Xenopus tropicalis: one gene and its partners. The protein of the gene in region 1 interacts with the protein of each later gene in a biochemical or structural test. Links are inferred from orthologs where the notes say so. Each region holds a gene or a part of one and is shown in the gene's direction. Other genes may lie near its edges.

Evidence for each region.
Region 2: the proteins of flt4 (region 1) and vegfd form a complex in vitro, tested with the Homo sapiens proteins (2 studies listed by BioGRID). The link is inferred for Xenopus tropicalis from reciprocal best matches to the Homo sapiens genes FLT4 and VEGFD.
Region 3: the proteins of flt4 (region 1) and lrrk1 form a complex in vitro, tested with the Homo sapiens proteins (2 studies listed by BioGRID and IntAct, with this or other methods). The link is inferred for Xenopus tropicalis from reciprocal best matches to the Homo sapiens genes FLT4 and LRRK1.

Annotation. Positions count from the first base shown.
Region 1 is NC_030679.2:20,222,003-20,227,372, forward strand, and holds part of flt4 (vascular endothelial growth factor receptor 3), read left to right. Parts: intron 1-989; coding exon 990-1,258; intron 1,259-4,415; coding exon 4,416-4,525; intron 4,526-5,370. UniProt on the Homo sapiens protein: Tyrosine-protein kinase that acts as a cell-surface receptor for VEGFC and VEGFD, and plays an essential role in adult lymphangiogenesis and in the development of the vascular network and the cardiovascular system during embryonic development.
Region 2 is NC_030678.2:29,692,274-29,697,643, reverse strand, and holds part of vegfd (vascular endothelial growth factor D), read left to right. Parts: intron 1-2,177; coding exon 2,178-2,323; intron 2,324-5,370. UniProt on the Homo sapiens protein: Growth factor active in angiogenesis, lymphangiogenesis and endothelial cell growth, stimulating their proliferation and migration and also has effects on the permeability of blood vessels.
Region 3 is NC_030679.2:115,738,368-115,743,737, forward strand, and holds part of lrrk1 (leucine-rich repeat serine/threonine-protein kinase 1), read left to right. Parts: intron 1-1,829; coding exon 1,830-1,994; intron 1,995-2,982; coding exon 2,983-3,155; intron 3,156-3,238; coding exon 3,239-3,359; intron 3,360-3,572; coding exon 3,573-3,732; intron 3,733-4,191; coding exon 4,192-4,468; intron 4,469-5,370.

The DNA of each region.
Region 1 (5,370 bases):
GGATTCAAGGTCTAGTTTAAATAGTACATTTAGATCTACCAACTTGGCAGTTAACTAATTCCCTACAAAAGGTCGACTTGAGCTCAGATGTGTCTTCCAAAACAAAAGCCATGCTTCCTGAGTTAGACATTGTTGGCAAGAGGAGTCTTCGGGTCTCTAAACTTTAATACAGCAATTTGCAAATTGCTTTTATTTTTTATGATTCACTTTCTAATCCAGTGATGACTTACTCCTGGCACTTAATCAGTTGTTCAATAAAATTGCTCTTAAAAATCCTTAGATTAAAGTGATATTAGACCTCTCCAATATTAAAATAAAAGGTCCAGAAGCATGGAGAGACAGGTTACTTATAAAGGGTATTAGTGTTAATATAATTCTACTAAATTATTGTTATGACCAGCAATGCTTTCCAACTGGAGGTCTTCATGCCAAAGACAGCTTTCCAAAGTTTTTTTGACTATTCAATTCCACATTTTTTCATATCTGAATAGCATTTTAGGTATATTATGCCTCTACCAGCATATTGTAAATAGTTGAGGAGTAGCTGTGGTTGAAATAAGACAAATGTCCATCAAATGTAGCCATTTGCACGTATGTAATTTAGATTGGCAGAGGAAAATTTTAAAAAAGTATGTTCAGCATAGAGGTGGTGCTAGATACCATATAAATAGACATTTACCATGTTTAAATATGTTTTTTCAAAACAGGGGTTATGAGTGTATGTTTTTAATTTGAATGATTTTTGACGAAGTGTGGAAGGAATGGGATGAAGAAGGCAGTAAGTAAGATCCAAGGAAAGCAACTTATGCTGTGATATAAACCCAGTCTACATAAAATATGAAATTATTTTATACTTTCTTCTATTTCACTCTTAGTGTGGGTGGGGAAAGTCAAGAATGGATACCTTAACATTAAAAGTATGTGTAGTCAAGTTCTTCATGTTTATGTTACATTTTAACAAATACAATTGTCTGCTTATTGATTTCTAGGGGACAAAGGCCCCTGCAGTGGTCTTGGCCAGGGGGTTTTACAGACACAGATACAAAGGACAAAGACTCCAAAGTGACTATAAATTTCAGTGATACACGCAGTGTGGCTGAGGAAGACTGTGAGGGGATTCCTAGCAAACCTTACTGCAAGGTGTTCAGGCTGACAGGAGCTAGGGCTAACGACACAGGCTCTTACTGGTGCCACTACAAATTTATCAACGTCAGGATCAAAGGGACCACAGCTGCCAGCGTCCATGTCTTTGTAAGAGGTAGGTGGACAAAAACAGTATATTTCAATAAAGTTCTGTTATGTGGAAGAGAAAGAAATGTGCCAGAGAAAAGATCTGATATTTTAATGTATGAAGACCCCCACTACTGTGAACTACAGCTATATTTTCTACTAGCTACTAAGAAGATGTGTTCTAGAATCTTTATTCTCATGAAAATAATTATTAAAATCCTTTTTTGAAAGATAACATTTATGGCTGGAAAAATATCAAAAGATGGGGGAAGTGGTTAATTTATGAACCAAGTTCTAAGTACTTTAAAATATAATTCAGTTTTATTACTCTGCTTGTTACACTGCTTATTCATCCATCACCCACTACTGTGTTGCACTCAGGTTCTATGGCTGAATGCCTTGCCTCAATAGTAAGGATCCTATTTTAAGATGCAAGATATCTATGCTGTAATCAGGGCCGCAGAAACTCTGGGGTTACAAACCACTATAGGATACTTACATGGCCTTTTAGGAGTCCCAAGCACAGGTCTGCACTTAAATGGATGTTTATCTTCAGGCAATAGTGCCCCTGTCAGATCACTGCTGCTAAAACACTCTCTGTTTTGCTCTCTCTGTAAGGGATTTCTTAGACTAAGACTAATAAATAATAAAGATGATTTATCATAATCAGTTTTTTCTGATGGGGCTGTTCAAATTCAGACTGTTGTTGTAAGGTGAACATCCCCTTTATAAGTAAAGTTTTAGCTTCATATAAGCTACCACTGTTGGGAAGGATAACTATGACCTTCCCTTTGCCCTACCCCAGCCTTCCTGCATTCAAAACAGTAGAGAGGACATGATCTGCTGAAATTGTGCTGTGGTCAGTTATAAAATGACCATTGATGGATCTCTATATAATGCTGCAGTAGTATTCCTTTAACTGTGCTCATATCCTATAATAAAAATATCATTAAACTATGTCAGCATTTCCCCATGATGAGCAAAGTTCTGCATGTGTAGCATATAGTATCTCTTTAAGAGGATTAAATGTTTGTTACAGATTTCAGTACGTTTTTAGTTGATCTTCATGTATGTTTTTGAACTTTCTGCATTCCTGTCTTGCTTGCAACTGGAAACACAAGTGGAGCTCATTTATAAACAATGGGCAAATTTACACCTAAGCAGTAACACATAGCAACCAATCGGTGATTGGATTTTTCATTCAGCTGCAGGTTAAACGCTGAAAGAAATCGCCTGATTGATTGTCGTGAGTTACAACCCAGGTGCAATTTAGCCCAGTCTAATCTATTGTGAAGCTACAATGTTATTGCTATTTTGATTGATTTTTACTAATGCTCCCCTCTTCTATTGATCTTTCATTTTGACAGCCAGGGCCAGAACCAGTGTCGGACTGAGATGGCAGGGGCCCAATAGAAAACCCTGGGCAAAGGGCCCACTCTCAAAACTTTAATTGCTCCTCTACTCCTTCAAACTCTTTATTCTCCGAGTCTCTTTTCTCTACATACTATCCTCTCTTCTTCCATCTATCAAGCTTCCTTGTTCGCATACAGAAATAGGGCTAAATAGATAGAAGCAAGAGGGCCCACTGACACTTGGGCCCACCGGGAGTTTTCCTGGTATCCTGGTAGGCCAGTCCAACACTGGCCAGAACTAGGGGTAGACAGAAGAGGAATGTACCTAGTGTGCAACTGTTGGTGGCGCTAGGCATGTACCGCTTTAACATACCCCTAGTTCAGACCCTTGTCCCTCCACACCCGCAGGTCCCCCTCATCTTACTGTATATGTGGATATAGTTTTTCATGTACTGCAGAAGAAGGACAACCAGAATTTTCTTAACTTTTAGGGAAAACCCAGCAAAAAGACAGAACAGTTTTGTTTATTAGCTAAGCCCATTTCTTTTATTAATACTATATAATTCTCTTGAGAATTTATTACATACTGTATTTTTCTAAAATGTCTGGAATTTTTTCTTGGTGGATAAGGAGGTCACGTAGAAAATGAGAAACTAGAGAGGTTCATGTGCGCTCAGTGCATCCAGTGGTTTCGTGTTCATGTGCTTTACATTATAAGAAATCCTTGGGCCACTGGTGTGCACATTAAAATAAACAATATCTGTACCGGTCGTTCAGGACATAATGTTAACTGAAACATAAACAATTTAAGATTGAAATTCTTCAAACTAGATTTAAATGGATTTTGCATCATTCAGGCCAAGAGTCCAGGCTCTTTTCATTATTATTATTACTACAGTTTGTATTGCTTAGATCAAGTTTTTCCAAATCGGCCCACAAGAACAATTTACCTGCCAGAGATTTGAGGGGTCATTTACAATTTGCTTTTTGCGATCAACATCACATGCTTTTTGCAGAGTCACCCTGCCCTGCACCTTTCCCATGAATACATTGTTACCTGCATTCTTCAGTGCTCTATTCATAAGGAGCAGGTGGGGGGAGGCCCCTGTCTGCTCCTTAACTTGCATTCAGATGCACAAGTTATGGACTATTTTTCTACCTACCTTCCCATGGCAGTGGAAGAATAGAGCTGTGTTTCATCTGCCTTCAGTGCTGATATGCCCCTTTTATGTGTGCTTTAAGAATGAGCACTAAGGGGCTTGTTTTTGTGCCCCTCAGTGCTCCTTCACCCACGGCAAGGGGAATATTTATCTAGGTTTTATCTAGTTTGATTTTTTTTTTTGACGATTTTGCACTTAAAAAACACGAATTCGAATTATGTTTCAAAAACTTGTCTGGTTTTTATTAAGTGCAAAAAACTCAAAAACTCAAATGTAAAAATTCTAAAAGCTTCAAAGTTTCTATTGACGTCAATGATATTCGGGTTTTTTTTACTGGAACAAGTTTTCCTCATTAATAAATGAGCGAGAATTTGATATGTGAGTTTATTTGATTTAAAAAAAAACAAACAAATTCAAATTCACAAATTCAACAAACTGATAAATAAGCCCTCTAGTATTGCAATTTTCCAAACCCACGCTGACTTCTTGCCCTGCTGTCTCTGATCTATTTAACCCTCCATGTGCAGTTAGTTGTCTGTTTTCACATCTGCCAGCAACAACTCTCTAAAACTGGAATGCTTTTTTGTGGGGATAGAAATAACTTTCTAAATTTTGGGGGGATAGTATAAACTTTCTAGCTTTTCCGACCTACATATTTTCATTGTGTCTTTAGACTGGGAGCAGCCATTTATAAACACTCTTGGGGCATTGCTGGTATATAAGGAGAAAACTAGAGTGCCATGCCTCGTGTCAATTCCAGACCTCAATGTTACTCTCCATATGGTAAGTCCTGCCTATAATGATATCTTTATTTATATTTAGCAGTTTAGGGCTGGAAGGTGTTTTAGTTCCATGCTGTTCCATACAACAAATATTTGAGTATTTATGCCATGATCTTAAGCCCAGTTATAAAACATTGGATTTTGGAGGATTATTGCAAACAAGTAAATATTATCACTCTAATCACGTATTTATAAAGCTCCAACATATACAATAGAATATATATATAGATATAAAAGACATATAAAGCACACCATTTACATGCAATACTGATTATTAAAGGTGGTAAAGAGAGCCCTGCTTACTAAACTGCATCCATTGGCACAGACTTTTTCATCTCAGCCATAACCTGACAATGGGGGCACCAGAGTGACCAAATGCTTGTTTGACATTGCCAGACAATAACTTTAGAAGTATTTGTCATATACTATATCACAGTACTCTTGTTTAATTCGCCAACATATTTAATACCCATTTAATAACTAATTTTTACTGTGTCTTTAATCACAGTTTATATAAAGTCTTCCTCTAGTTGAGTGTAAACACAAACATAATGGATGCTCTCTCAGTGGACACCATGATAAACTCTTGCAACTGCCCCCTTTAAGCTTGTATTACAGGTGTAAACACAACTGTGGGAAGCAACATGGCAGTTTGGTACAAAATAAGAATTAGGCATGCTCCTCATTGGTGCCTGATACCCAGCACTAAATTAATATTAATTTAGAAAAAAAAAAAATTAGTTATTAAATGGGTATTAAATATTTTGGCGAATTAAACAAGAGTACTATGATATAGCATATGACAAATACTTCTAAAGTTATTGTCTGGCAATGTCAAACAAGCAT
Region 2 (5,370 bases), on another chromosome or scaffold:
CTCTCTGCATGGAGCATGTTATAAATATTCAGCAAATAAGCTCTATATTCTGTTATACATCACTAAAGTGGCTTAGATTCCTCTGCACGGCGGGGAATGCACAACACGGCCACAGCTGGGGGTCTGTGTAACTGAGGGGCTTAATGTAAATTCCTTTCCTTGTCCTTAGGGTCATGAAACCATTACCAAAAAAAAGCTTGACTTACATACATGGCCTTTAGAGAAATGGGTGTTACATTGTGTAGATTATTGATTCTTATTGATATTTTGGATGGTTTGTAGAATGTGTTTGAAGGGTCATAATTAAAACACTTAAGGCGTAATCCCCAATTTGCTCAGCTCTGTACAATACCCATATGCTAGGATGCCATTATCAGAAAATTGTACTCCTTGCTGGTTGGATAATATCTATACATTTGCTTGCTGAATTTCCTTATACACGTACAGACTTGAACTTGCTCAATTGCTAATTGTGAGTTTAGGATGCTCATTGTTCAGCGCTGGTATTGTAGTCGTTGGCCCCTCTGGCTTCACAATAAATAAACAGAACCAGATGTTTACAGCAGATAAGAACCTTGTGTTCCAGCAGCCTCCCCCCTTTCCTTATCTCATTAGAAATCTTCCCCACTATTTGACTGCTGACCTTTTTATGAGTATCACAATAGGCTGAAAAAGCACATTGGTAGCATTTTTTTAAATCCATTCCACAAATCATTAAAAAAATGTTGGTCTCCAGCTACATTAATAAAAGTGTAGCTAATCTGACAGCATGAGAGAAGCCAGATGTCGGATCTAAAGACGCTTCAAATAATGACAAATTGCTACAGACAATTCTATGTACTGCATTGGATTATTACAACATTTTCTTCTGGTTTTCAAGCAGGCTGGAGCACAAACTAGTATCTTTAGTGTCTAATTTCATTACAACTGTGATTCATATAAAACTGTAAGACACGGCCATATCCACAGAAACACACACAGCCATGCTGTTCTTGACTCAATGATATACCTCTTTTGTATAGAAATGTCTCATTATCACTTATCACCTAGCACCCTACCCATTTGGACTGTCCTTGTTCTCTGGCTGGAACAATAATGCTGGGTTTGGGGGCTGGCAGGAACCCCATAATAACTTTGTACTTCTTCCCAAGTCCAACATGATGGCTAAGGGTACTGGCACAAGAGGAGATTAGGCGCCCGCTAAAATCTGCACTACCGCAGTCTCCTGCAAGTGCTTACCAACTGGCCATAATGGAAATTGCTGGTGGTAAAACATATTTGGCTTTTTGTCCTCCCAAAGTTTTCCCGCAAGCCAATACCTTAATGCAGCTGGAGTGTCCAAGGAGGGCAGAGAGGAGGGTAACATAATAAGTTAGTGAAAAAGGACACGTTAATCAAGTTCAACTGCAATGCCTATATATCAAAAGGAAGACAAAAAACCCCACCAGTGGAAGTATAACCCTTCCTCCCGTGAATCTATACCCCTTTTAATACAGCTCAAAACCTTGTTTGCCCTTGCAGCTGCTGCCTGGCATTGCTTGCTACAGCCAAGTTTATTATCTACAAGGACTCCAAAGTCCTTCTCCATTATGGATTTACCTAGTGCAGTCCCATTAAGGGTATACGGGGCTTGCATATTTTTACATCCCAGGTGCATGACCTTACATTTATCCACATTAAATCTCATCTGCCACTTAGCTGCTCAGATTGCCAGTTGGTCAAGATCCTGCTGCAAGGATGTTGCATCCTGGATAGAATTAATTGGGCTGCAGAACTTTTTGTCATCACTGATACATTACTTATAATACCCTCCCCTACAGAAATATATCTCTGTAAACAAAATAAAAATGTCAGTATCACTTTTGTGGGAAATTATGTTCTCCCATGGACATGAAAGCACCCGAAACTACCTTGTCATTGGGAACCACAGGAATGATCATGGGTAAAACATATGAATATTTTTGTACAATCAGCAAAAATTGAGGGGTGCCCACCTGCCAAGTCCCCAGTGGAAGCAACTGCTCTGGACCAGAAGAAGCAAACCAGCAGGTTGGTGAGAGACATTTGCCCCATGACTTTCAATTACATCACCTCAATTTTCAAGCTTCAAAGGCACATAAAGAAAAATGTAAAAATACAATTTAACAAAAACTGATCATGTTTTTCTCATTCTTTAGCTCTTTGAAATCTCAGTTCCATTAACTCAAGCACCAGAGCCTGTAACTATCAAAATAGCCAATCACACAAGCTGCAAATGCACACCGAGTTCTCCGCGGCTCTCGAAGGCCATCATACGAAGATCTGTCCACTATCCAGAATACGGGTAACTCATCTCTGATCTATATTCTTTTCAACTATGTTCATTATAACTTTTTTGTACAAGCATAAACCAATAAAAAACTTCACAAAAACTTAATAACTGTAAAGGAGAAGTTAAGGTAAAAACTAAGTAAGACTCCTCTTTCAAAAGAAACACAGGAATTCTGGTCTCCTTTTTTCTCCTGCTCCCCCTCCCATAAGAATTCATAAAACTCACTCATCCCTCCCTTAGGAATGTGTAATCTTAGCTATAACAGCTAAACTGCAAGCAGGAAGCTATGAAGACCAAGCTATTATGGCAGCTGCAATCTTAAACAAACAGAGAAAGCTTCTAGGGCTGTTTACTCAGGTATGATAAAGCTTTCTGCAGAATAAATATAGTGTTATAGGTGGCACTAATGTGGCAGTAAAATGCCAAAATGACTTTCCATCTCCGCGTCTGCGGGATGGCAGACGCGGCGGGGCGATTTGCGCGAAATCGCGCCGCCGCATGTGCCATCCCGCCGGCGACTTACATGTTCACCGGTGGGATGGCAGGGGTAGGCAACTCGGGGAGATTAGTCGCCCGCGAACAGGGAGTTAATCGCGGGCGACTAATCTCCCCCGTGTGCCAGAGCCCTTAAAACAATGCACCTCCTGGCCCTGCCACTTGAGTTGTAGGTGGAGCACTTCCAATAGATCTCTTTATTTGGCAGAGGTGTTTTTAGATTGCGCACATTAGTGGTCACTTACTTCATCATTGTGTTATATTTATTGGATAATCCTTATTGAAGTCATGGGCACCCAGTCTGCAGCCCTCAAATGAACAACCTGAGGGGAAACAAGTCCCCTCCAGTGACCCTTCATGTAAGTTAATATAGAACATGGAACTGTGTGTTCCAGAAAGTTCTCCTATGATAGAAATGACGTGTGTGCTATTAGCCAAAGATATGCAAGCATTTGGTGGACTCAGCCTAACAGCAGACTTTCTAGTCCATGTCTCAGCACAGTTGCTGGCTAATGAAAAGAATAAGCTATTTTCACTCTGTGGGAGGACTTGGTTTAATAAAGTACATGCTCCTCTTCAGCTATAAAAGCAACACTCAGCATAAAGAGGCCAAGATTTGGAATTGTATGACAGGTCCCTCAGGTTCTTTGTCAAACAGGGAATATCCCCTCTCCTAAGCCAGGAGCCAAAACTAACTCTTTAAGTAATTTTTTAAGAATTTATATTTAATTTTGTGGATGCATCAACAGTCCTACAGATCTATACAGCTTTGGCTCTAGCTTTCCCTTGGCTATAATTAAGTAGATCCTCCTCCATGAACTAGACTCGGTGGGAGGACTTGGTTTTATAAAGTACATGCTCCTCAGCTATAAAAGCAACAAGCAGCATGATGAGGTCAAAAATTGGAATTGCATGAAAGGTCCCTCAGGTTCTTTGTCAGAGAAGGGCACAGTCCCACTCCAAAGTAAGAAGCCAAAACTAACTCCTCAAGAAATTTACAAAATAAAAAGCATTTACATTCAACTTTGTAAATGCATCAAGTCGTACAGACCTTTAAAACAGACCTAGAAAGTTTTGGTTCTAGCTTGGCTTTCCCATGGCTATAATTGAGTAGAACCTCCATGAACTAGGCTTTCATTCTCATATTATCCTTTCTCTGCAAAACCAGTTCTAACATTGATACAGTTCAGCATAAAGAGGAATTGATAGCAATATTCTCTAATGTGAAAAATAAATTCATAGTTTACCAAAAGAATGCATAGGAGACCTTTAGCACGATGGTCACTCAACTGATGAGTGCTCAAATCTCCCCGTCAAGGATCTGCAAAATAGAGCTAAACTCAGCAGGACCCCGTATGTCTAATATGATTTCTTGCACAATAAAAAAGAATGTGTTGTTTAAAAAAGACAAATATCGTCTGCATTCCTAAATACATATGTTTGTAGCATAAACCTCAGAGGGTCTTGCATTGCTGGGGTTTCTCAAGGTTAATATAAATTGATTCAGGATGGAGAAAATGAAAGAACATTCAGTAATCCCCTAAAATACCAAGTCTCTCTACTGTTTTTTCACGTTGCATGTCAGTCTAACACCTATAAGGGGTAACAATCAGCTCCTTAGTCTTTGTACATCAAGATTGAGTGATGACATATGAGAGTTTCTCCATCTGTTTTACATTTATCAAACCTCTTGAGCAATCAAAATTGTCCATGCATAGAACACTGGATGCTTTTCCCCAGAGGTGTTTAAATTGGACACCCAATGCTTATTAAATAAGATAAAAATAGAAAAAAACAAACTGTATCCAATACAACAACAGTAATAACAGGAAAAATGGTCACTTTTTGATATCATAAAGATCTGAGCAATGCCTTAATGTGGTCTGGCCACCTGCCTCCTTGCTCTTTAGCGAACAAGAACTGAAAGGTCATGAAAACAGTGATATTATTTTATCTCTATTTATTTTCTAATAGGAATTTGAGATAGAAATACAACTTTTTTTGGAACTAATAATCATAAAGGAAAGGGTGAAATAATTAAATAGCTGCAACTCTGAAACAAAACAAAAACGATCAAGGTTATCCAAAGGGGGGCTGAGGGAAGTGCCAGGACCTAGGTCAAGATCTCCGGAGGAGTCTTTCCATCTTACTTTTCCAAACTGTACTTTATTCATACAAATCAAAATCCTGTGCTCTAACAATAATATTTTTGCATTTAATCAGAGTATGCAGTACCACTGATACTTTTACAGTGATCTGAACAATATAGCTTTCTGACTAATGAAATTAATGATATAGAGGCCCAACGGCACGCCTGTCTACTAAGTAAAGTGGCAGCATTTAGAAATGATGTTCTATAGCAGTAATCCCCAACCAGTGGCTCGTGAGTAACATGTTGCTCACCAACTGCATTGATGTTGCTCCCAGTGGCCTCAAACTTGGTGCCCATTCTTACATTTCTGGCATAGAGGCAAGTTTTGGAGGTATGACCATGTGCACTGCCAAACAGAGCCTACTATAGTCTGCCTGTCCACATGGGGCTACCAAATAACCAATCACAGCCC
Region 3 (5,370 bases), about 96 Mb from region 1:
TGGATCAACTTTGTAATTGTTGTATTCATTTCAGTCACCTTGTATTTTCTTTCTTGCAAGGAAAGGCATCCATATCTTTCTTGAAGTTATCTTGTACATGTTTCAGTACAACAGCTTCAGGGAAGAAATAACACAATTTTACAAATTTTCTCACTGTAAAAGATATCTCTTTCCTTAATATGAAACCTCTGTTTGTTTAATCTCAATAGTATGTCCTTTTGTTCTCTGCAGATACTTATTGGTTAAGGGCATTTATTGTATGGGCCCCTTATATATTCATACATAGCTATCATATTCCCCTTAACCACTGCTTTTTCAATGTTGAAAAAAATGCAGCCACTCTTTTCTGGGCTTTCCATATTTCTTTAAAGGAATACTGTCATGGGAAAATGTGTTTTTTTCAAAAGGCATCAGTTGATAGGTATTCTCCAGCAGAATCCTGCACACAAACAGATTTCTTTATATTTAACTTTGAAATTTCACATGGGGCTAGCCATATTCTGCATTTCACTGAAAGCAGTTCTAATGTGCAGCGCTGGCATCTTTTTAAATATCAGACTCGGGCACAATGCACTAAGATGGCGCCTACACACCAATATTAAAACTAAGAATAATTAAGAAATTAAGAATAATTTTAAATGGTAGAGTGAATTATTTGCTATGTAAACAGTGTAATTTAGAATTAAAAAGTACCCCATAAAAAATCATGACAATATCCCTTTATTAATGAATTATATGATGGAAACGCAAACTGCACTCCATATTTTAAATAGATCCTACCTTACCTTTATTACCCCTTCAAGTACAGGACAGTATTTTGACGAACATTGCTGCTGCTGCTGTCTGACATTTCCTGCTGCACACATGTTTTTTATCTGCAATTACCCCAAGATCCTTCTCCATTAAGGATTTACCTAACTTAAGGTCCCCATACACGGGCCGATTCTAGCTGCTGATATCGGTCCCTTAGACTGATCGGCCCGTGTATGGGGACTACCGATGGGCCTGCCCAACCAATATCTGGCCTGAAATCGGCCAGATCTCGATTGAGCAGGTTAGAATATCTGGCCTGAAATCGGCCAGATCTCGATCGGGCAAGGTTAGAAAATCTAGTCGAATCAGGGACTGCATCAGCTTGTTGATGCGGTCCCCGGACCGACTTTGCCTGTGCCCGTCATTATAATTTGATCGTTTGGCCCCAGGGCCAAATGATCGAATTAGCCTGGATTCTCCTGATATCGCCCACTCGTAGATGGGGGGTATCGGGAGAAGATCCGGTCACTTGGCGACATCACCAAGCCAGCGGATCTTAAGGTGTATGGGCACCTTTAGTCCCAGTAAGGTTATAGATAGCCTGTACACCACTTAGGAAAAAAGGAACCAATATATATATATAAATTTTTTAATGCACCCACACTTTCAACCTGTGGCAAATATTTTTTTGCAGTTGATTTAGATATTGATGATGTTTCTGTATGTATCTGATTAGCATTAAAGAAATGTCAAATTTATTTTCTACCACAAGATGGATATTATAACAAGGCTTGCAGCTATACATATGGACCCCTTTAATTTATATGTAATGCCTTCTAACATATTTTTAAAGCATTGCCAAATCACCTTACAAGCCTCTCTTCTTAGTAGTTTGGTGTGTGTGTGGGGGGAAACAATAGGAAGATTTAAAAGGAAGGTTGGATTGGCTTTGACTATGTTATGGAATTAGTCAATTAACCACTCTTACTGTGTTTCATTCTATTATTACAAAGGTCTGTACTGAGTAACCTGCCTTCACACAGAGCCCTTCGTGTCTCTCCCTTTTGCTTAAGTAGGTTGATTCTGTGCAGTTCCATGTGTGGGACGTTGGAGGTTCGAATGCAATGTCCGCTGTGAACCAGTGCTTCTTCACTGACAAAGCCTTGTATGTGGTAGTCTGGAACCTTGCTCTTGGCGAGGAGGCTGTTGCCAATCTTCAGTTCTGGCTACTGAACATAGAGGTAAGAGGTAACTATCTGCATGTGTCAAAGAAGATCAATACTGGCAAGGTATCTGTTATGTGTAATTCTTGGGATCTACAGTTTTCCGGATAAGGGGCCTTTTCTTAATTAGGAAAACACTCCTTAATCCTACTGAAAACATTTAAAAAAAAATAGTATTATTTTGCCACCACCGTGGATTAATGTTCCAATATTTATCATCAAGTAATTATAACAGAGAAAAAGGAAACCTGTCAAAGAAAAATTGTTTGCTTAAACATTCCTGTATTTTAGAAGTTTCTGAACAATGAGTTTACAGATAATAAATCCTATACTTGTATTGTATATTTGACTACATAAAAGATTATTAATTTATTTATACCATATTGCCCATGTCTAGGCAACTCATTCGGGCCTATTAAAGTGTTGACACACAGCTGCAATTTTGTAGGCATGATATTTAGGAGGAAAGTGGAATTTCCAATTCTATAATGAGATCAGATCTTGTCTCTGGGTTAGAGTGTTAAAGCTTAAAGGAGAAGGAAAAACAGCCCCCAGTGATTGTAATTGCTTACCCCGCGCTGGTGCTCCAGCCCAGGGTAGCTGTGAGACAGCGATCTTCTTCTGTCCGTCTTCATTCTTCCGCTTCCTGGCGCATGTGCAGTAGGATTAAAATGCTGACTTTTTTGTTAAAGTTCTGCTTTTCACTCTACTGCGCATACACAAGTGACGCAAAGACAGGAGAAGAAGAGGATCAATGTCTTGTTGCTACCCCGGGCTATTGCGGTTTTTTGCTAACAGGAGCACCAGCCAAGGGATAAGGTAAGCAATTACAATCTCTGGGGGGTGCTAAAATGTTAGCTTAATACTGATAATGGTATAGAGCTGTAAAGAAAAGTAAAAAGTTACCATGCAGCCAATCTTACTAATGCCACCTCATCTATTTTATCTGTTACTGGATTTTTTGACGTAGCCAGATTGTTTGATAAAGCTGATATCTGTTTTCCAGGCAAAAGCTCCCAATGCCGTTGTTCTGGTTGTAGGGACGCACCTTGACTTCATAGAAACCAAATTCCGGTTGGAGAGAATTGCCACTCTTCGAGCTTATGTTCTGGCATTGTGTCGCTCCCCATCTGGCTCCAGAGCAACTGGGTTCCCTGATATCACTTTCAAGCACTTACAGTGAGCACATTTTAACTTAAGGGTGTTTAATGTTATGTTACAATTTTTATGTAATTTTCTTTCCTCTGGCTTTCACTATTCAGTGAACTCTCTTGCAAAACATTGGAGGGACTCGATGGTCTGCGCCAGCTGATATTCCATGCTGCCTGCAATATGAGGGATGTAGGCAGTACCATTGGATCCCAAAAACTAGTGGGAAGGCTGGTACGTTTTATGCTCTACAAACAATATTTCAGATTAATTGAGTCAAAAAAATATTATTGGCTCAAAATACTCCATGGGATATCTCTCAAGCATGGCCAGTCTTAACACCAGAATCAGTTCTTTGCAGTGGCCGCAAAATTTATATAATTACCTTTTGGTGATGGGGTCATATCCTCTATCCAAAATCTCTGTCTTTTCTGGTTATGCAAATAGATCCCGAGAAGCTACCTGAACCTTCAGGAGGCTGTGGTAGCTGAGCAGCAGAGACGAGCTCAAGGGGATGAGGTACAATACCTGACTGATGAGCAGATAGAACAGATTATTGAACAGAGCCCTGGAAACGATATACGCGATTATGAAGACATGCAGGCAGGTATGTGACCCAAATTGAATGAGTGAGAATCAGTATGTGCATTGGAACATTTTTAATTAGGGCATTATCTGTGCTAGCTTGTGTATTTATATTGCATTATTTACATTCTACAATGCAGGTTATTAATTATTATTGCTTTTGGGCAAAGGCACGGGATGGCATCCACCTAGTACCTAGCATCTTCATATGTGGGGTATTTCTTTTCCTATATATCAGCTATATATTAGGATAATTTGGGGCAAAGGTTTCTGATATATGTGGTTTTTCCTGCCCTTAGCTACTATACAGCTTTCATTCTTTTAGTGGCTTTAGGCAGAGCTGTTTACGACAGACGCTAAAAAAAAAAAAAAAAAGAATGGGGCCTCACTGTTTTGCTGTGATTCTCACTACCACTAAAGGCAGCCCTGCCTGTGGGAGGGGCAATATCATTAATTTCCTTTTCTTCTCTGTATCCTGCAGCGATCGGTTTCTTGATAGAAACTGGGACTTTGCTTCACTTTCCTGACACTAGCCATGGCCTAAGAAACCTTTACTTCTTGGACCCTGTTTGGTTGTCAGAATGTTTGGAGAGGATTATTAACATTAAGAGCTCCAAGTCTGTGGCCCGGAATGGGGTGATTAAGGCAGAAGATCTCAGAATGCTGCTGGTTGGAACTGGATTCACCAAACAGACTGAAGAGCAATATTTTCAGTTCCTGGCAAAGTTTGAGATTGCTCTTCCTGTTGCCAATAACAGGTGGGAATATACAGAATTTATTCAATTTAACTATAAGTGGATATGCTCCGCTTTCTGTATATAGTATGTCCATACTTTTGCTATAGATACACCTAATATCAAGGAGCATGTTGTACCTGTAGCAGTATAACAGAGACTGAAACTTGAATATGATTTATATTCTAAAACTGTGATACAATTCCTGAAGCTAAGTTAAAAAGGTTTTAAAGAAACAGTAAGGGATTCGTTTATAAACAGCATTTCATTCTGTTTGTTGTATTTGCATTTTTAAATATTTTCCAGATTAATTTGTGTGTTTGAGTTGTGCGTTTCATGCTGCAAATAAATGGTTAAATTGCCCTTTGTCCAATTTATACAAGATCTGTGTGAACATAGTGCTGACTCTGGCTGTTTACATGCCTCTGTTGCCATCAGTACCATTACCTCAGATTCTTACTCTCAGAAGAGCAAGACAGAGCTCTGCAAGCTTATCAGTGAATACGTTAATTACATCCCATGTGTTTGGCATTAAACAGTTAATTGGATGGCTGTACTTAGAAGATATCCCAATGATAAGTTCAATTTATAGCCTGCTGCATCCAGCACAGCATGTCTCATGTTAGAAATGAGGGGAACCATTTATTATTGTTGAAACTATTATGAAATACGTGTGAATTAAGCTTTATTCTTTTTTAAACGTGGCCTATTTGGGAGAGTTACATTGCATTTACCAGTTCTTGGAAAGCGGAGACTCTAGTTAGGTTTTCCTTTTTCCTCACCGAGCAAGTTATAAAGGAGCAGCCTTTAAGTAATGGAACATGGCCCAAACTGTAGGCATGTTGCCAAGTTTTATAATGCCAGCTTTGTCAGGCTTTGCTGGAGCAGCTGTAAATCAGGTCAAGTCTGGGCAGAAAGACACTTCT